Linked DNA regions of Drosophila melanogaster. The protein of the gene in region 1 interacts with the protein of each later gene in a pairwise test. Each region holds a gene or a part of one and is shown in the gene's direction. Other genes may lie near its edges. The genes, in order: CG15710, CG9967, bip1 and CG14302.

What was found.
Region 2: the proteins of CG15710 (region 1) and CG9967 interact in a two-hybrid assay, tested with the Drosophila melanogaster proteins (one large-scale study listed by BioGRID).
Region 3: the proteins of CG15710 (region 1) and bip1 interact in a two-hybrid assay, tested with the Drosophila melanogaster proteins (one large-scale study listed by BioGRID).
Region 4: the proteins of CG15710 (region 1) and CG14302 interact in a two-hybrid assay, tested with the Drosophila melanogaster proteins (one large-scale study listed by BioGRID).

What each region holds. Positions count from the first base shown.
Region 1 is NT_033778.4:16,346,568-16,351,058, reverse strand, and holds CG15710 (uncharacterized protein), read left to right. Parts: upstream 1-2,531; 5' UTR 2,532-2,592; coding exon 2,593-3,390; 3' UTR 3,391-3,445; downstream 3,446-4,491. Other genes in the region: wcd (wicked), read left to right, coding at 3,664-4,491.
Region 2 is NT_033779.5:2,353,573-2,359,520, reverse strand, and holds the start of CG9967 (uncharacterized protein), read left to right. Parts: upstream 1-2,164; 5' UTR 2,165-2,443; intron 2,444-2,589; coding exon of another isoform or gene 2,590-3,090; intron 3,091-4,698; coding exon of another isoform or gene 4,699-4,941; intron 4,942-5,020; coding exon of another isoform or gene 5,021-5,752; intron 5,753-5,819; coding exon of another isoform or gene 5,820-5,948. Other genes in the region: eys (eyes shut), read right to left, coding at 1,644-1,831, 2,590-3,090, 4,699-4,941, 5,021-5,752, 5,820-5,948.
Region 3 is NT_037436.4:8,052,962-8,060,793, reverse strand, and holds bip1 (bip1), read left to right. Parts: upstream 1-2,080; 5' UTR 2,081-2,333; intron 2,334-2,700; exon of another isoform or gene 2,701-2,747; coding exon 2,748-2,914; exon of another isoform or gene 2,915-3,293; intron 3,294-4,418; exon of another isoform or gene 4,419-4,485; intron 4,486-4,585; exon of another isoform or gene 4,586-4,620; coding exon 4,621-4,918; exon of another isoform or gene 4,919-4,993; intron 4,994-5,354; coding exon 5,355-6,149; 3' UTR 6,150-6,461; downstream 6,462-7,832.
Region 4 is NT_033777.3:18,730,190-18,733,947, forward strand, and holds CG14302 (uncharacterized protein), read left to right. Parts: upstream 1-2,491; 5' UTR 2,492-2,516; coding exon 2,517-2,523; intron 2,524-2,596; coding exon 2,597-2,805; 3' UTR 2,806-2,845; downstream 2,846-3,758. Other genes in the region: Mekk1, read right to left, coding at 3,089-3,175, 3,240-3,419, 3,565-3,758.

The sequences.
Region 1 (4,491 bases):
ATAAAGATTTCCAGCTTCATTGATATAGAAATGTCAAAAAAGTTCTATAGCACACGACAGTCATACATTTATTTAACCAATTAAAGCGATTCGAAATGGCATGGTGTTTAAGTGCTATTGCCATGTCGCGCACTGTCAATACAATGTCAATATGCATTGTTCGCTAATGTATCGCCAACAAAGTTTTACGCTTTTTGTCGCCAGATTTTCCCTTTGGCTTAATTCCGTTTGAACGACGAACGTTGCGTTGGACAGGATTTTGTCCTGCAAATAAAACGCGCCCTTGACAATGGCCGTCAATATGCCGATATCGGTGGACAGAAAGACGTTAATTACCAACATTACCGCGCGCCCAATTATCAACCGCACAAATCAGCGGTGATGTAGGTACGGGTAACCTGATGCACCGTGTGCGGGGCAATGGAAAACTCATTACATGCCACAGGAGCCATCATCCGTGATTCGAAAGATAGCACATAGGTGGAGCGATGGAGCACAGGGGCAGGTGGCCAGGCGCCACGCCCACAAGGAGCGACCGCAACATGCTGTAATGCGTGGCTCTATCAGCATTTGCATGTGCAGCTGGAGCTGGAGCTAAATGCGCCCGATACTTAAAGCCAACTAAAGGCCATATGTTAGCCTACACTGCCAAAGGACAAACTTAATGTCAACACGCTAATCTGTCAGTCGGCAGGAGTTGCAGCGCAGGATGCGAGATGCAGGGCGCGGAATGGGGGATACTGGCATGGCGGGGAGTTGGGAGTGCGACTGCAAAGGATCTGCCACAATGTCAGGCCACTTAAGGAGCGCTGAATCGCAGCGCCTCGCTGCACAGGAACTCAAGGATATTGGAAGTGGGCGGAAAATGGGCGGGGAACACTCCCAGAAAATGCAGCGATTCTTAGACAAACTTCAATCCTTGGAACTTGATTAGCTATTATTACTTAAGGCAAACGATTAAAAAAGCTTCTGCGTAAAGGATTAGTAGAAAGATATAAAAGAATCCCATATTCTGTTAATCTGAAATCAACAGATTCTGAAATGAAAAATATTCATATTTCAGATAGCTTACTTCAAAATAACTAAAAAGAATAGCCTAAATGGTTTAAAAAGCATATAATACATTCAAGAATAGTGTATGCTTTTTAAATAATTCACAATCTTTTGAGGAAATACCAACAACCCAACTTCGCGCTGCTTAAAATTAATGATAAGTATGTTTAATATTTATAGAAAATTATTTGCTAGTGTATCGCCGCCTGGATGGCGCAACAATAATGCTGGACCCTTTGAAATGACAAAAATTGGTTGCTCTCCGTGCGGCTTGACGCCTGACTTGGCAGGAGACACTCGAGGGCACCACAAATGCCAAGCCGTCACCCACCCAGGCACCCAACTAAACACCCACTGCTCCTACAAGCAACGTCCTCCCCCCGCGAAGGACGCGTCTTATCAACTATGCAGGGCTTTGTCTCTAAGCGATTGCAGGCGCCACCCCCCCTTTCCCTTCCAACCTGCCCCTGCCCCCTTTTGCTCCACGCAGTCAGCGTCTTTTGTTGCGCTTAATGAATTTTACGTAAATTTTACGAGCGCTGATTTCTGGCAGCAGCAGCACCACCCCAGCTATTAATCCACACTTTGGCGAGAGCACCACCCCCAGTGGATGGGTAAATTAGTGGGTGGTTGGGTGGTTAGTGGGTGGATGAGACTGGTGCTCTCCTGGTTGTGCGTGTGTAATGACAAGTTCAACAACAACTCGACATTGTCGACTGGTGACGAGGACGACGTGCTCCGACATTTGTTTGCCCAAGTTATGCAAATATTTTTCCAGTCAAGAAGTTTTTGTTTAATTGCATATTTTGACTCGCATTACGCGTGTCATAAAGCAGGGATCCGGAGCTTACCACAATGCCAGAAGTTGGGCGGGGATTAGAGGCACTCGAAAGACATGTTCCTGCATTTTACAGTTCAAAGACCAAACTAAACAATCAGTTTTACGAGTATAGATCTTATTCTGCCCAGGCTTGCCATTGAACTATAGCTATCTTCCTTAGAAATTAATTTAAATTAAATTTATATTTAAGTCTCTAAGATGATATTTTAAAAATAATTCCTAACACAGACGAAATCATGGAGAAGCCTTTAATATGGTTCATAAAACATAATTTATTTGCTGCGTTCGAAACTGTGAAGCTGACCTACTTCATTTAAAAACGAAATTAAACCGAATATATATAGTATGTATACTTCTGCTTTAGACAGTAAAAATGCATGAAGATTGTTTGCTTAATTGGTTAAACTAAATGATGGCTAAATATATTACCACCTCATTTATGGTAATCCGAATAAAACGTTTAATTTTTTTTTGGAGGAAAGCGTTGGATTCGAATTTCATTGCCTGGACAAATTTAAAAAGTTTACATTTTTGAGGCATACCTATCGCGTATACGCTTTCTTTCTTTTCCAGCCCTGACAGTTTCCGAGTATCGAGTATCGAGTATTACTTTCTATCTTTCAATGACAATGACCGGCGACTTTCTCACTTTCTTCGTACGCTTCTTACTGGCGAAACACAAGAGCCCACAAAGGATTATGACAAGTGCTGGCAACTGGATTTCCGAGGAGCTGGAACCAGCTACTCTACTGTCGATTCAGGAGGATAATGGTATTGTTACCAAGGTGTACGTGGCGCCCTGTTTGCAGCCGATAAAAGAGGAGAAAGTTTTCCTGGAGGACAACACGCAACGCTTCCACTGTCCGCTTTGCTCTAATGTGATTCGCACGGCCGGTGCCTACAAGGTCCATCTGATGGCCTGCCAAAGACGCTTGGCACGCATGATGAAGGATGTGCCGGACGTGTCCCAGCATCAGTGCAACATTTGCAAGAAAATCTTCTCCTCGGTGGATGCCCTGATCGGCCACAGGCTCCTGCATGGAAGCCCATCAATGAATCGCACCTGTGCATCCTGCCATGTCAAGTTCGGGACGGATCTGGAGTATCGCACCCATTTGGAGAGCCATCTGATACCGTGCGAGTCCACGGATGAATCCTACGAAGGGGCGTACACCATCACCAAGACCTTCAATTGCGTCTTTTGTCGCACGGAGTTCAAGGCCTGCTTTAAGCCTGGCCAAGTGACCCGTCGATACGCGTGCGACGCATGTATCGTAAGGCTGAAGGCCCAGGAGGAGGAGAAAAAGATCTTAGGGAAGAGAAGGCCCGAATTAATCTGTGATCGTTGTGGGAAAAAGTACAAATATGAGGGTTTCCTTCACCGTCATCTGAAAACTTGCCAGATGCCGGATAAATGCAAAAGAAAGCGTGAGATTGAAATCACCGAGGTCAGCGAGGTAACATTTACAGAAGTTGTGCAAAGTTTTAATAATTGATTATACAAATTCGCACATTTTAATTTTAAATTAAATAAATATATTTTTTAATTGTAATATTTTTTATAATTTTCAAATTATGGCGCCCATCCCACCGATATCTATTTCGATCTGCTATCGATGTGGTCACACTTATCGATAAATCCACCGTGGCGTGGTATTTTTGATTTAAAGCGTTAGTCGATTTCCCGCCCAGCTGCACGTGTATATTTTTTTGCGGTCCAAAGAAAAGTTCGTAAATAAACGAATTTGCGTGCATTTCCAGCGAACACGATGAGTTCAGACGAGTCCAGCGACGGTTTGGAGGAGCTGCAGAGTCTGAAGGCCCTCTACGGCCAGCAGGAGCAAGAGAAACCGGCAAAGATCAAAAGGGAACGTTATATTCCAAAGGCCTCGCAGGCCAAGGAGCTCAACTATGTGGAGGTGCCCATGGAAAAGGTGCTCTTCGGCGACAGGCAGCGACTGCTCACCAATCTAGCCAAGTCCGTGGGACAAAAGTTGCCGAACGATGACGAAGACGAGCAGGAGGAAAATCCCGGCCAGGCAAAGCCAGGCGACAAGCGGAAAGCCGCCTGGTCGGATTCCGATGACGAGGACCTGCAGGTGGGCGATGTCAAGAAGGCCACAAAGCACACGGGTCCACTGAACCACCTGCGCAAGGATAAATCGTACAAGGAGTATCTTACGGCGCGATTCCAGCGCACGCTTAACCAACCCAAGTGGGCGGAAAAGAAGGTCAAAAATGAGGACGACGAGGACGTATCCTCCGACGAAGAACTGCTGCGGACGGTTGGCTTTATCGATCGTAAAGCCCGGAACAGTGATCTGCCCCAGAAGACTCTGAATTTTAAACGGGTCAAAGACCTGAACAGGGCCACATATGCCGAGGGTAATGCCACCAGCATTCAGTTTCATCCAACCAGTACTGCTGCTCTAGTGGCGGGCATGAATGGCCTAGCCACCATCTACGCCGTGGATGGGCAAAAGAACGAAAGGTTGCACAACATGCGCTTCAAGAAGTTCCCGCTGGCGTGCTCCAGAATTGCTCCATGCGGCACAAGGGCGTTCTTTGGTTCTGTGAAACCATTCTACTACTCCTAC
Region 2 (5,948 bases), on another chromosome or scaffold:
TTTTTCAATTTCGCCTTGCGTTGAACTATTTTCCACATTCTAGCAACAATCGAAGATTTAATGCTACTATCTTTAAACGTAAACGAGAACGGAGATACTATCGTAATCCATAAAAATTAAACTTACATCTAGTATGCAATTAAGCGGAGAGGAAGTAAAGTGAATTAAAATAAATAAATAAAACAAATCGAACAACACAATACCGTAAACAACTTGTTTAAATCGTTCCACAAACATCAAAGATCCGATGCATATTTCTTTCCAATTCGTAATTTTTATGTTGTCTGTATGTATTTAAATTTAAAATTTATAAATTATAATAAATGAAAACATCGTATATACTTATATATATATATATATGACTGCGTATATACATATATGGTCATTCGATTTGAATCGACAATGAGCTCACAATCGCTTTTGTATTATGGGTTTTCAAAATATTAGCTCATGGCTTTATAAAAAAGGTAATTTAACTTTTTTTTAGCAGAGAAGTTCCTTTGCGGCGGAAAGACATTGGAAAATATGTTGCATCACCACTTCCCAAGACTCCCATGAAAACATAAGGCAGATTTTAGTTTATTAACTTTTCTAATTCCCATTTTTTTATTTGAAATTATAACTGATTAAGATGTCTCTCGAAATAAATACATACTTAACTTACAGTTTTGGTTACAATTTCCATTTGGTTTCGTATTGTATAATTGTTGTATATATATTTTTGTTTGTATCTTTCCGCTACTTGGTTTTCCATTTATAAGAATAATTATATTGTATGACCGCATGGATTTTCGCACGCGTCTTGATTTGTTGTTAGATTAGTCGACTTCGAATTGAGTTAGTTCAAGATAAATTATAGAGAGTATACGCTAACTTACTACAAGGCAACTAAATGGCTTCAATCAGGAGTGTTTATGCTATTTAACGTACAGGGATAACAAGGATTCGAATATCCAACTAGCTAAATTAGGTTTAATAATTTGAAAAACTTAGAATGACAGAAGCGAGGGCAGTTTTGTAGTCTTAGTTTAGAAAGTTGAAGATATAAGGAGAGATTTCGAGTTATAACACAAATGCTAACGATTGCATAACAAAAGGCTGGATCAACAAAAACAATATACATAGTGATAAGTTAAGTTGCTTTTTGGATCCTTCGTCCATAATCGTTATTCCACATGAAATATCACTTACGTAAGAGAAGTTAATATCTGTATCTGGTATCGGTATTTTCTAGATTTATCTCCTAATCTAAAATTTTGTCTTAGTTTTGCTCTTGGTATTGTTTTGATAAACCAGTTAATTTGTCATTTGTTTCCACGGTTTAAGTCTAAACATTGTCTTTTTTTCGTTTTTCATTTATTTCTATAAAATTTACAAAATTACGTTCATTTCTCGTCTTATTCGTCTGTCATCTTCTATCGATAGCTTTGCCCAAAAACTGTGTGTATATATTGATTCCGGCGAAGGAGGCTCCCCATTCGCCTGCTTTCCATATAAACTCGCTTATCACTTAGCTTACAAGTAGTGTTCTCTCTATCGTCAATTAGATTCCCAAGAAGTTTGCGAGTCCTGAAAGTCCAGATCGATCAAAGTGTTCCATAGACTTGTTACTCCGACTTTGTCCTTTCCTTTGATTTCGTTTCCTATACAGTAAGCGGCTCATCGCCGTGCAGATCACAGGATCCAATGTTCTCGCCCTGGTACGTCGAGAAGTCGCTGATAATCGCTGTGGGCTCGGCTCCGAACTGGATATCCTGCAGGCAGCCCTTGAAGGGATCGAAGAAGCGACCCTTTGTGCGCCTGCTCACCGAGTCCGAGTTGGGAAAGCCGCCTGTTTGGGATGCAAAGAATAGAGCATTTGTCAATTTGAACTTGAATTTGAATTTGTGCTAGTGCTGGACAAGGTGTAAAAGTGGCAGTTAACAGCAGTCTGTTAGCTGCCGCTTAACAGCATAGATTCATGTTTAATAAAAGATGAACAATTCGCTCAAGCTTTTAATGCTAAATTTCATTTTGAATTTAAATGAAAGGTAAGGAATTTATATATTAGGGTATTTAATTAAGTAATAATAGTCAGTGTATCTATTAATTTATGAACAGCTGATATGGCTTAAATACCTATCGAACCAACAGCCGCCCAAAGCAAACGAGTTGGCAGCCCAGTTAAAATCAGTGTTTATTCGGATCGCGAATCAAAAACAACTTGCGATTGAAATCGAAGTTCGAAAAGTTAGTTGTAGCTAACCAGCTTTGGCCAAATGGTATCAAAGAGACCTGGATCGTTGTGCTCCGGGTTTTCCCTTCTCAAGAACCGAATCAACCGAACCAGCTAAAGTGAACTGAATGTCTCTTAATTGTGCAATTGTTTGTTTAAAGTGCATGTGAACAAGATACGCTAATAAAAGTCTTCGGATCGGTGGTAAACTATAAAACTATAAAACCGGTAAGTCGATCATCATTATAAGTTTATGTCATAATTAATACAACGCTGTAATGGGCTTAGGATCACATAATATCACATAATGGGCAAGATTTTGCAAGCTACACCTGTTTGATAATATTATAAAGGTCATAAATAAATAGACTCACCCAAGTAGAAGACATCCTCGTAGCTAATTGTTGGCTCCTTGCTCGAATTCTTGCGCCTGCCCGCCAGAGTGCTTCTCGGCGTGGTCGAGCCCAGTGACCGTCCGCCCTCGGGCAATCGCTCCGTGAAGATCACCTCGCCGTCCAGCTGCAGCTCCAGCCTGGACCGGTCCAGCAGGACGCTGGTCCAGTGCCAGGCTCCGTCGGCTATGAATCCGCTGGCCGGAGCACGGACCGTGTCGTTGGTGCTGCCCAGGAGGTTGCTGGCCAGCTTGAGGTGGCCCGCCTCCAGGCCCAGGCCGAGGAACTTGCTCCTCTCGTGCTCGCTCCACAGGAGCAGTCCGTCCGGTTCGATGGTGGAGAAGTTCAGCGAGACTTGGATGGCTTCGCGGGGGCGGACGTACAGGGAGGGTCCCCGCCGCTTGTCTTTCATCGGAATTCGCGGCGGCGGCAAGATCAGGTAACTGTTGCCACGGAAGCTCGGCGTCGTCGGCTTGCTCATGGCTAGAAAAATCCGAAAGAGTCATAAGACATACATAATACTGCCGCGGGGAGGGAAATGGGGAAGTTGAAGTCGAATGGCGTTGCATTAAACATATTGCATGCGGCACATAATTAAATTACAGCATCAGCTTGCCGCTGCAGCTGCATTGTTCCTCTTCGTCGCCGTCTTTTGTTTCACTTTATGTATCTGAATCTTAATCTGAATCTTCATCTGCAGACCCTGATCTCGTTTATCAAACTCAAACCGTTTTCTAATGCACTACCAAGTACCTGTTCTTTGACAAGAAAAGCGCTTTTGGCCCAATCCAAAGAACTCACAACGAGTTGTATATTTAATTACTAAGAAAACAACAGAATGATATTTATCAAATGTTCAATTTGATCTTTTGTTGCCTTTTTCTAGTTGCACAGTGCTCACTTCTCCCATTTGTCAGCGTTTTCTTCAACTTCACTCACTTTCCAGTTTTTTCTGCCTATGAATCATCACGTTCTTCATCAGGTTCTAGAACTCGAAGCACACATTAATCTTTATTATCGCGCGGTTATTAATTTTCTATACACTTTTCCCTACAGTTTCTTCACCCCCTTTTATCATTTTGTCTATCACCTGTTCGCTTTCCCTGAGTTCTTGATTTTCATGGATATAGCTCAGGCTTTTCCTCGTATTCCTATTTTCTCTCCATTTTCCCTTCACCGACTTGCATTTCTTCAATTTCAACTTCAACTTGCTTGTGTGGCATGTTAATTCACAATTTGCTAATAAGTGAAAGGCAGACAGCTGGATGAATCTCCACATAAAACATTCGATGGATAAAGAAATAGCAAAAACGCATCTGCCGATTTCGTATAATCAAAAGCTTGTTTCGCAGATGGTTGATTAATGTTTCGCTTGGTGTCATTATAATTTTGAATAATGTTGCAGTGTGAGGGGATAATAAAAGTTTGAAATTACTGATTGGATAATTGAAATTGGCGCTGAAAGTTACAAGGAGTATTTTCTGTTTGAGCTAATAGGTTAGAACTTTGAACTTTATTTTTGCATATTATGCATATTAAATTGAAAAAAAACGAGAGCATTCAACTTTGAATCATGGCCAGTCTTAATTATGCCCCAACTCTATCCCCATTCTGATTATAGTGCTCTTTATTGCCATCGTTGTGAATCACAGAGCGCTAATTTTTGTGTTACTTTTTTTGGCCAACCAACTTCCTGACCCCGCTGTGCACTGAACCATCCAGAATCCAAATGCTGCTGTTAATGGTTATTTTCTGCTGCCGTCAATCTCTAATTATAATAATAATGTTGTTCTACTCGGCGGCTGCGAAACTTGTTTGGCCCAAAACTCCGCAGAACACCGCTCGCAAATTGAGATCAAAACGCAGAAAATAATAATACAATAAAAACATTTAAGCTTCTGTAGGAATTGCGAAAACCAACTTTTACTCGTGACACATTTTTTGCGAATTGAACTTGAAGCCGTGCGAAGATTTATATAACTTGTTTTTCTCCGCATTAACAAGATGTATTGCTATTATGTTTTTGGTTTTTTTCGAAAACCAACTGAATTATGAGCCGTGCTTGTGGTTATTGAACTTTTGGCCACTCACCAATCTCGCAGTAGAAGCCACCCCATCCATTTGGACACGAGCAGCGTCCACTTCTCAGGCATCTTCCATTGTTTTTGCACGGAATGAGCTTGCAGGTCTCCGAGTACTCGCATCGATCTCCTTTCGCGTACTCCGGACAGATGCAATGCGGCTGCAGCTTCTCGTCCAGCCAGCAATGTCCTCCGGACTCGCAGGAGTCTCCGCCACAAGCGGTGCCATCACAGTCTCGAATGTTGCGCGATTCTAATGGGGTTAGACGAATCATTTAGTTAATCAAGAATGGTGTCCTTAAAGGCTGTTGCTCATCATCAACAGTACGCACCCACAATGTTGGTTTCGTTGAGCACAATGCGAGTTCCACTGACCACCAGACCCCGGACACATCCCCTGAACGGAATCGGGAAACCGGAGATGGCGTTGTGCGGCAGCTTGGACACATCCTTCAGCCCGCCAATGTAGAGCAGTGAGTCGGGCTCGACGAGCACCTCAGCCGAAGGAGCCAAAGCCGACGAGGCGCTACCCTCCACCCACAGGGTCAGCCATCTTCCGCGCTGCGCCATCTTGATCTTGTGCCACTCGCCGATGGCCAACATGCGAACGCTCCGCACCACCGTGACATGATTGCTGGGCCCGGAAATCCGGAACTCCACCACTCCGCCCTGCAGCGATAGCGACACGAATCCTATCTTCTTGTCCTGATTGTTGTTCAGGGTACCGAAGTACAGAAGGAGGCCTCTTTCCGAGAGCGGGCGCAGTTGGAACTCGATGAAGAAGAACTGCACTCGATGGTGCTCCTCGAAGGACTTCGATCCCATCAGGGGAACTGGCGAGAAGCTGCGCTGCTTCTCCACCTCATTCAGCAGTTTCATCACAAAGTGGCTGCTGGGCGTGGTAATGGGCTTCGGGGGCATTAGTTTCTTGGTGAAGTTCCGGTAGCTGACCATTTGGGAGCGCTTAGCGCCCAGTTTATCCCCGCCATCGTATAGATATGGCCAGCGAACCGCCAGATAGGATCGTCTGCCAGTCAGGGATACGTCGCTCAGGGATCGAATTACTAAGGATTGAAGGGCAGTGAAGTTGTATAGCTATAGTAATGATTATAACTTTTTTGTGGAACCTACCCTCCTCGCAGTTTTTGCCTGTGCGTCCTACAGGACAATCGCATTCGTAGCCATTGACCAGCGGCACACAGGTGGCGTCCTCGTAGCATTTGTTGTTGAAGGAGTCACAGGGATTCGTGGGCTGGGCAC
Region 3 (7,832 bases), on another chromosome or scaffold:
CGAATCGGATTGGCCTTCTGACACCCGAACAACAAATGTCAGGATGGCCGAGTGGTCTAAGGCGCTGCGTTCAGGTCGCAGTCTACTCTGTAGGCGTGGGTTCGAATCCCACTTCTGACAAGAACTTTTTGCCATTTTTTCGTTTTATTTTTTGAGCTACAAAAATAAAAATTTCTAAAATCCAAAGTATTTTACAATTATTAAATCAAGAATATACTCTCTCTTGACCAAACTGGAAATTGGCACTCGTTAGTTTAACAGTCAGGATGGCCGAGTGGTCTAAGGCGCTGCGTTCAGGTCGCAGTCTACTCTGTAGGCGTGGGTTCGAATCCCACTTCTGACAATACTCTTTTATTCTATTTTCCACAATTTTTTTCTAATACCAATTAAACTATTTTTACTTGTGCTAAACACACACTTCTTTTCAGTTTTGAGAATGAACCGTTTCAGTATGTGGTCCCCAACCAAAAGAAAATTTGATCTTACGGCTCTTGAGAGTCAGGATGGCCGAGTGGTCTAAGGCGCTGCGTTCAGGTCGCAGTCTACTCTGTAGGCGTGGGTTCGAATCCCACTTCTGACAAAGATTTTTTGTCCAATTTCATTCAGCAAAACGATTAATTTTTCCAACTAAAACTTTTTTTGCCCCTCACAATGATCACCATTTGTTTGGAGCATACATTAGATTGCTTTAACGAGCCAGCTTCCCTCTCAGGGGCGCCAGAAAAATTACAAGTAAATCAATTTGTAACCGCCTAATTGTCAATATTCCAATCACATAATCGGCTGCCAGTTAACGATTGCCCCCGGCTGTCGGGCAGACCGACAGATACAGCGAGACCACACAGGCGATGATCAAGCCTGGCCCCCTTGGGAATTATCGCCGTCTGGCATCGCCTGCAAACACTTCTACTTCTACATTCATCGCCAGCTCGAGTCATTCGGCTCAATCAGACAGAAATTAAAATGCTGACTGAGCGCGTTTTCGAATGCGGCCCACTCAGTAGTTTGTGTTTTCACAATTGTTCTTGGGAAAAAACAGTGCAGGTCCATCCGTAATTATGCTGCTGTTTGTCGGTCGTAAAACGCAATCAACTGGCCACGACAATTGACAATTTGGCTAGTGTAAAACTAGCCATTAAAGTTTTATTTGCTTTAGCACTTGAGAAATTGAGGCTGGCCTGGCCATAACAGGCGAATGGGTCAATTGGCATGTGACAGCAAGAAGCTGCAAGCTGCAGGCTGCAATTTCCACAGACAATGCAAATTGACGTCTTGGAAATATGAGTGATGTGACAAGTGGATGCTTATCTGCGGCTCGACGCCCCTGTTTTTTTTCGAGGGGCTTGCCTCCTTCGTCTGATGAGCGCCCATTGAAATTTATGACTTCGTCGAACCGCCAATTGATTGGCTTTTAAATATCCAAATGAAGGCTGCCAATCGCGAATTGTGCGGCCGTAATTAATGTACAAAAATCATTTGAACGCACGCCCCAAAGCAACACCTGCAGCTGTTGGTATCTTTATTTATGGAAAGCTTTTAACACTTTTAATTAATTATGGGATGGAAAAGTTGGCGGCTTAGCTATGTTGCAAATTTATGACACTACAAATTGATAATTGATAAGCAAAAATGCTATCTAAATGCTAATTTCTCGAAAAGCATATAAAACTAGAGTTAAGTGGTATTTAAGTATTGCAATGTACAATTAATATATTATATACAATCAACTACAAGGTGCGTAATTGAAAGGTGCGCAGACATCATATTATTAAGTAGTAGTTGAAGTATTATTTTCTTCGATTTGATACATATTCATTGCGCAGTACTTTATTCTTTAAAACACTATTATTTTAAATATGACTCATTAAAATAATAAATCATAAAAGAAATACCTATTTTTTAATGTCCTTCAATGGTAGTTTTTACTGTGCGCGATTGAAATCTCAGCCTGATTCCGAATTTGTCAGAGCTTTCCGGCGAAGATCTCGCACGCATGGGCACAAAGCTCGACAAAGCTGGAGAGACGCTCTCCAAACCGAGCTTCGCGCGGTGCCTTCGCGTGACGCAGGCGGAGCTTTCGACAGTCTGCTCCCACGAGTGACGTAGCGCAGTATAGAATGCAGAACGTAACAGAATCGTAATCGGAGCCGCATAGCATACCGCTAATTAGAAGATAGATGCCCTTTTCATTTAATCGTATCTAGCTGCGATCGCTTAAACCGGCGCCAATTGTATTCAAAGTTCCGTAACCGAAAGCTTTCACCTAGAGTTCTTGCCGTGGGGTTATTAAACTCAGAACTGCCGGTCAGAGAAAAGGAGACTTTGTGTGACAGGTGAGTTCATTATGTACATATGTATCTGTTTTCCTAAGATAAGCATAGGTAAATAATGGCGATGTGGGGTACATATGTTTATATTTAATTTCAAAGTATTTTGTAAAAGGTAAGACCACGCGGCTTTGAAAGGCAAGCACAAGTTATCCAAAAAAGCTTTTCCGTGGATGTGCATCTTATTGGTGCTTTTCTACGTGCAGCAAAGCAAGCTTTTATTCGCCAGAGCGAAAGTTCTTGGGGTCACTCTAGGTTTTCTTTTATTCCAAGAAAGAAAATAAGAAAATAAATAAGATATATGTATGTACTTATTTTAATGGTTTTCTAAACTAGAGCTTATTAATAAAATGATAAAAGAAGCAATAACCTTAAATTAAAATGAGTGATTTTATCCAATTTTAAAATAATATTTGATAGATGACGAATACGATAACCACTCTTCGGATTTGCCAGGCTGTGTCGCTAAATCCTAGCGCGAATGGGCCGGAACCAGTATTGCCACCTTCCTCCAGGATTTGTCTGATGGGTTGCCAGGATGTAAAGCCCAATGATCTGCGTCGTTTTCCAGTCCACGATACCGATCGGTGAGTATTATACACATACATACATACATATGTAGGTTCCTCCTGCCAAGAACCACATTAAACCTGTTTTTAGAGCCTACGGAGAGCTTTCCGATCGATTCGATCACCGAAGCTTGTTTTTGTTGCGAATCACAAGTGCTCATTCTATATTTTAAACACCATACCATTAAAGCCATAACAATCCAAAGCTTTGGACCCCGCTCGGTGCTCCTCTTCTTCGTCTGATACCGATACCGATACTCGCAGTCAAAGGTCATTGAACTTTCGCCCTCCCTCTCTTTCTCTGTCTCTGTCTCTCTGTTTTTTTCTCGGTTCGCATAAAAGTGCATCATTTTCATAGGAATATTTCAATGCCATGGCGGCTAAGAACTTGTGCAGTGCAGCAATCAGAAATGCAATAATGCCGATGTGGGCGGGGCAGTGGGTGGGCGGGGGATAGGTCCCAGATTCCGACTCCCATTTATTTATAGCTCTCACGCTCTCCTGTAAATGCAACAAATGCGCGTGGGGCTCTGCTCTGCTGGCCGTGAAGTGAAGTTATTTTGTGTTTCTTTGCTGCTTCTTCATCTCCAGTTTCTGCAGTTGGTGCGCAAAAAAAAAAAATAGAGTTCCGTCTGCCAAAGTTACTTGGCATTGGCCATGGAGTTTAGAGTGGACCACTGTTAAGCGAATTCTTCCTCTTTCCGAGGAAACCCCAGAATGTTAAGCTTTATTTATTATCAAGGAAAGCTCATATTTTACCTTTCGTCGGTATTATCACTAAATGTACTTTGAGACCAAAAAAGTGAAAGTCACTTTTATAAGCAAAATCGAAATAAGAATGACGTTTGCTAAGTTTAATTATAATAGTTGGTTATCTAACTGTAGTCATTGAGTTCCGTTTAAAAATTTTCAAGATATAGTATGAAATTTTAAAGTGAATTATGACAATAATTTTAATTTCACACAGTTGTACGTTGGTTTTGTAAGTTAAGCATAAACCATTCTTATGAAAATGGTTTCAAGCGATTAAAATTTATTTAAAACTTGGCTAGTAAGTCAGATTAAATATGGTATGAGTAGGCAAATGATTTTGCTGTCCCTGACCTGCACAATAATTTCGCATTCGGTCCACCCTAAAGGCCTTAATTGTTGTTGTTGTTTCGCCTAGCCATAAGCATAAGGCAAAAAGAAAATAAGCCTCATTCCCCCATCTTCCACAAATCGGCAGAAACAACAAAAATAGGGGGAAGTTGAGCAGAAGCTGCAGCAAAAGCAACAGCAACAACAAACAATAACAATTCCCCGCGAAACTTCCGCTGAGCGAGAAGGAGCGTACGAAAGCGTTGCTTCTCGTTCGCACTCGCAAAAGAAGCATAAAAAGAGCTTAATTGCAGCGAAAACTTTTTCAAGAACTTTTCCAAGAGAGAGCGATAAAGAGAGCGGAGAGCGAAAGTCGGATCTAATTTGAAAGCGTCGCAAGAACCAGAACGAAACTCCAATGCAGTTTCATTTTGTCAGTTTAATCATTAAACAAAGAACTGCGCAACCGATCGCAACTAGCTCGTGGACTCTTGTTCTCCCAATAATTGGTATGTTTTCCATTTTGCGTTAACATGGAAAATGTGTGAAAAGCTTTTTCCCCCTCCAAAAGAAGCGTACTGAACTAAGCTTTCGGTGGTTAGTAATAGTAGTCGTTATATCTTATTTTTCTTATTTACGTGCAGCTGCAATCATTGGCTGCGTCACTTTGGCGTCAGCTATAAACTGGTGGATCAACTCGGCGGCCTCCAAAAGCTGCGCATCTGCTCCAGACACTTTAGCCAACGCCAGGAGATGGCCAAAACCCGCATCAAGATGACGCCGCTGCGCAAGTCCTCGTCCTCCAAGGGCATTGTGCTACCCATTAATGCCGCTGGAGGGTCGGTCATTGCAGGCGCCTTAGCAGGAGGAGGAGGTGCAGGAACTGGGAGCGGTGCTGTCAAGTCGGCGGTGGCCAGCAGCACCACCATTGAACTTGTTGAGGTGAGTGGCAGCACAAAAGAAAACAAAAGTTCAGCTTTCATAGGGGTTGGTAATTGACCCAAGCTAAATTTCAGTTCAGACAGAAATTATGTTTTAGACTCCGTAACGCAATTTTCGTTGTTTATTAACCAATTGAAATAAATCGTATAGGTATTTGAGCATTAAATGGTATTCCAAAAACGGGCATGCTATTAGAGTTAGTTTAACAACAATACAAGCATGTCTTAAAAAAATACGTACAAAGCTATTTATTCCGTAAAAGTTTAATTTTTTATAACGAATAGCGACAGATCCTGAACTTTTAAAATTTCAGAGAACCCTTCAACGTTCTTTCTCTTTAAATTTCATATTTTAAAGATATGGTTAAAACTGCTTGTATGCATATATAAATATATACCACTATAAATGTATTTTAATGAACCGCATTTTTTTGCAGAGCCCCAATAGACATCAGGCCAAGAAGCCCAACACCGGCATTATGCCCATGCCACAGCGTTCCCACTCCATTAGCTCCTCGGCCTCCAGCGATGTGCTGTCCATAAACTCCGACTACGAAGCCTCGTTACCACTATCAGCCTTAGAGGATTCCCAGAATGGACTGAACCGCTTGGAGAACGGTCAAGCCAAGAAGAGGAAACTGTACGTGATCACCGAAAAATCGGATGAGACGAAAGGTCAGACTCTGGAGACAAATGGACAGCCCAAGAAGCGTAAGATGTTCGTGGTTGTGGAGCAGGATAAAGATGTGGCGGGCAAGAAACTAATGATTATGGCCGACAAGCCGCAGACCAATCTTACCCAGCATTTGGAGAAACTACTGCCCGAGCTATTGAATCGCATACAGGACAAAGAACAGAAGCAGATCAAACCAGCTCCAGTGGTGACTAAAGCCAAGCCGGTGGTTAACAATCCCAGACCACATATAACATTGCCGCCCAAAAAGAATCCAACTAATTTTGCAAAGATCACGTCCACACCAAGCTCAGTGCCTTCATCCATTCAGATGCCACTGCCAATTCAGAATACCAAGATCCTAAAGTCCGAGAATTCGGAACTGACAATGAATTCGGATGAGATCGAGACGAACATAAATCTATCGCCCGACTTCCGCTTCCTAATGAAAATCCTACCCAAATTGGAACAGCTGCCCGAGCCCCACAAGCAGAACGTGAAGCGTTCCATCCAGATCTTCGTGGAGAAGAGCTACAGTATTTACGGCAACAAGGATTAGTTATCAGTATTTTCGGGCACAGCGTTTATTTTCCATTTCATGTGAAGCAGTTCCCTTTATTTTCGTACATACACATACATACATCAAAGGCATTTCATAACTTTGTGTAAGACTGAAGCAGAACCAATTTAATTTCTAAGCCAATTGTAAGAGCTGAAGCAGCTCCCCATTTAGACATGTAAGCTTATCAGAAATTTGATATTACCCACCTGGAGATGGGTAGATTTTGTAAAAGTTGAGCCATAAAAACGAATTAAGATTGAATTTCTTTCTATATTGAATATATGAAAGCTTGATTTAAGCCAGAAAGATAAACCGTCTAAGAGTCTTATTTTTGGGATAAGAAGGTATATAACGAGGGGATATTACCACGACCCACAATTAATAACACTAGTGTTTTTTTCTTATCTTTTTGGTTTTTTTTTTTTGCATTGTAATTCCAAAGAACTTTATTTAGTTTGAAAGCATTTGTTTACGGTTTCTCTTCTTCCATATTTCTTTCTTTTTTTTTTTTAGTTACGTTATAATAATATTTAGTAAGTCTAATGCGGTTTTATTTAGTGTGGTTTAGTTTAGTTAATACAATGGTTAGTGTGTCTTTACGATTTCCATGTAAATTATGCAGCTTCACTTCGTCCTGGAGAAAGGATTGCATTTGGTAATTTACAATTCTTGCCGGCCCATTTACCACTACACGTGTATGTTTTGGGTCTCAGTTTCGTTTTAAGTTAGTATATCCGATTAATGTGGTTAATACATTACATATATACAGTTAAACACTTCATGTTTAATTTAGCTTGCGGGTCAAGGAAACCAAATTATGTGTAAAGTATTAGGGAACTTTGTTGCGTGCCTTTACTGGATGAGGATTTCTACATGATTGGAGTGACTCCATTTCGAGTGCTACATTATAATCGAGTAATATATACTTTTTACAACATTTAGCAAATTTTCCCGTACACATACAATAACTCGTATATCATATTTTTGCGTTAAGCATTTGCCATCGATTTTTTTTTAGAGGGTATAGGGTGTGTTTTATATGGTTTTAAATCGTGTTTGTTAACTACGTTTTGGAGTGTCCTACATTATAGCGTTTGCCTTTTTGTCGGTTAGCGTATCGAGTGTTTTTACATGCTACTTATAAGAAAAAATATTTGCCTTAATGTTGTCCTACGAAACAGTTATGTCATCATCATCATCAATGAGAAGCAATCACAAAGTTTTCTCTAAATTTATATACGACGATTATTACTATTATTTATCATTTTCTTTAGTATTTACATAATTTTTTGGAGTGCACAAAGCAGCCAGCTTCTGTCTGGTTAGTGTAAGCAACTAGAACTACATTCACTGTGGAGTCGAAGATGCTCAATTATCCATTTTGCATTTACACATCGAGTTGGTTAATCGTCGTTTAGATGTGGGTTAGTGGGTTCGGGTTAAAAAAACTGTGTCACAATTTCTACAAACAGCCTTTTGTTAAACATGGTAAACGTACATATATGTTGGTTATTTATATGTTATGCGAATTTGGGATTATTTCATATATGTATATAGGAGTATTTTGTAATTTTTACATTTAATAACCTGAGCGCAATCATTTTTATGTTTTATTCTACCAATCTTGACCAATTCTGGTTTCAATAGACTTCTCTCCCCTGAGAGTCTCATCATCATATA
Region 4 (3,758 bases), on another chromosome or scaffold:
CGTGCCCCTGGAGAGCGATCGCGAGGATGAGGAGGAGTCGCGAAAGGTCAAGTTTAGCATTTACAGTGTGGGTATTCCAGCGTAAAGCCACCACTGTGAAAATAGTAACTTATCTTTGCCCCGCAACCAACAGAAGGATCATCTCCGGGAGCTTTTCCGGTGCGCCGTCGCCCGCCAGACTGAGGTGATGGTGAAGAACATCCTGGGCAATGGCATCGACATCCCGCTGCTGGGCCTGCGAGAGGCCAGTATAGAGGTCACCGGCGAGATGCACGAGCTGTTCAAAGACGAGTCCTACATCATCTCGCAGTGCTTCCTGCTCTCCACCAGTCAGGTAGTAATTGGCCCACAGGTCTTCGCTAATAAGCACCACTCTGCACTCTATCACCTCTGCACCACCTAATCAATTCTTGCACCACAGCACCACTGAGCACAAATCAGCTGCACAAAAGTAGGTATCGGCTAGAATGAAGATATCTTCAGGACTTGGCATACATGTTATTGGAATCGTCATAATGATCTTATTGATATACCATTCAGGTGGCCTGCTCTACGGACAGCTTCATGGGATACGGACCGGTAACGCCACGTGGTTATGGCTGCTCCTACAATCCGCATCCGGAACAGATCGTCTTCTGCGTCTCGGCCTTCTACTCCTGTGAGGATACGAGTGCCTCGCGCTACGCCAAATCGCTGCAGGACTCGCTGGACATAATGCGTGATCTACTGCAAAACTAGACGAACTAGACTAGAATGTCGCTAGGATTGGGGTCCACCAGAAAAAAAAAAAACATATCAGTTAATGTACCTAAGCAGGTTAGCGAACGAAAGTAAGTAAGTGTAACTAGCGACCACACACGGGCGTTTCATTTGTGACCAAGCACCACCAAGCGAGCCACCCAACGAGGGGTGGGCATCTGAGGAATAAGATGGATAACGATAACGAAATCGGAATCGAAAACTGATGTCAATCACTATCAAGTTGAGACAAAAAAAAAAACACAAAAAAAAAGAAATAAGAAAACTATACGCAACCCATTCGCTTTACATATCCGTTACCAAAGTATCCTCGTAGTTTGAATTAGAGCAACTCTAGTCAATTAAATGTTTTAGAGCCGTTTTATGCGCAAATTGTTAGTGCTGTTATCTAAGTGTGTTAATTGTGCTATATTAAATATGAGTGTTATACCAATCACTAACTAACTTAGCAGAGCTTACGAACTTGTTTATACCCCTACTGTCAGCGAATTATGGCAAGCAAGCCCACAAGTATGCAATACTTTTCGTTACGAAAGTTGTGTTTCAAATACAATACGTTCTATAGTTGTTACAAAAGATACTAGCTAAAGCATATACTAAAAGTACTATCTGCGCTTGTTACTGCAATTTCGTTGTTTGTTTGAGGACTTATTACAAAAAAAGAATTATATAATGTCTGTTAATATATTTCCATATATATTCGTGTTTTAGAGAGCAAATGGTATACCGTAACTAAAGGCTTTTTGGATGAATATATATATATATATATATATATAATAATATATGTATGTACAACCCGTAAATGAATAATGAAATGAATGTAGAGGAATATATAGAATACGCGTATAGACTTGAGACGTAACAATACATATCAATAAATTTATATACATCCCAGGAAGGCAAATGATGCCCCACGGCGCAGGACGATTTAGAATGATATAGATACATATATAACCTATGTGTGTTTGTTTGTCTGTTCGAGCCGTTAGCAAAAAAAAAAGATGTTTCGATGGCGATCCACCAAAGCTGTCAATAATCTGCAAAGAATATATTATATACATAAATACTATACGTATGTTATTTACAATGGAAAATATATGAGAAACGTTAAAGGACAACCAGATACTTATATCAAACTAGTTGCTGTGTTCATTGTTGCTATATATGTACTATATGTATGATTATCTTCTAAACTGTTAACCGAACTATCACTACGTACTATCCAACTAACTATCTATCTTACCTGTATTATTCGATCTGTGTATCAATCATTACGTTACCATACTGTTCTGTACTGTCGTTAAGTTTGACTCGTTTCCATATGGCCAAGAGCCGCAATTAATGTATGCATAAATAATCACGAACCGAATAAATTGAAATAAATGCATTACAAACCAAGACCACCATCATTCCTGACCTACAATTGATCTGCTGGTGAATGAAAATACTCCATACGTATATGGATTTGGATAAGGCGCACGGTCAAATTGGCCACGTATTTTTCAGTGACTTCTAAGAATAGATAAGTCGTCTTCCGCTTGAAACAGTCATGAAAATCCGAGCTGCGCACTTCTTAATATCCAAGTGGTAAATACGATAACAAATAAATAAATAAATAATGATAAGCCAATGCCAGATAAATAGTGTTTTAATAAATTAATTAAATAAAATACCAATGGATACCCATGGCCAAGTGGTTCTCCATAAAAGGCCCTGGCCGTTCTGGGCACTTCAACAGTCTCTAAAACGCCGTCAACATGAAATGTAAGTACCGTACAAGGAGTAACCGCCAACGCAATCCGTGGACCATTCGAGTAACCGGCTCAATTCGTTGCAGTCTTCAACCTGCTGTTTAGCCTCTGTCTGGCCTTCATGCTGTGCACCTCGTGGGTGTCGGCTTTCTCCAGTCTTGCCACCCCGGAGCCAACTCCGCCAACTGGTGCTCCCGTCGATGGTACGACTAGCACGGGATTCTCTGGTCCGCCGCAGGCTGAGACCACAAATGCCACGCCAGAAACGTCGACCATCTATCCCATTTACGGATAGTCATCATCGATTGATGAATTAAAAACTGAATCGCAAATATATTAAAATACGTGTAATTTTCACTTGCATCGAATGAATTGTGGGGGTTACGGTACGGAAAGGCATTTGATTATTTTATACGGGTTATATATTGTCCAACATAAAACCAGACGAGGGCATTCAAATAATCGACATTCACATAAATTAGACACTAAACAAAATCCACACCGATGTACATATGCATCATATGTAGGGGTGCGCCTAAAAAAAACCGCAAGCTAGTTAAGTAGACACCACGTTGCACCTAGCTGCTGCTGGTCGCCACATTTCGCCGGAAAGAGCCTCGCACCTGCATCTGCAACTGCTCACTGCTGCACTCGTCTCGACCGTACTGCACATGGAAACGAAAATCAATTAGCAACATTTGGCAGCGAGCTAACCACAGGCATACGCACCTTGCAGAAATTGTGCTCCAACAGTTCCACTGCCGTTAAACGCCTCTTGGGATCGTGCTGCAGACAATGATCGATGAAGTCGTGACCCTCCTGGGATAGGCTCTCCGGTGCCTGCGGCTTCTCGCCCATGCCCACTTTGAACATGATCTGGAAGTTGGAATCAAACTGGGCCCAAGGACGCTGTAAAGAAACCATAAATATATATTAAATGTTAAACATTTCAAAATTTCACCCAAAGAAAAGCACTAATAATCCAACATTGTGAAATGGACTGTATACCCCGCCCCATACATCGAATTGCTTATCTACAATGCGAAGCACTCACCTTGCCCGAGGCCATCTCGACAACCACACAGCCCACCGACCAGATATCGGCCGCCCTGCCATGGCCATCGCTGTTGGTCTTTGTGAAAACCTCCGGCGCCATATAGGCCTGCGTGCCTACATAGCCCTGCAGCTCACCGGGCACAGTGGTGTGCGCTTGGATCTTCACTGCTGATCCGAAATCGCCCAGTTTTA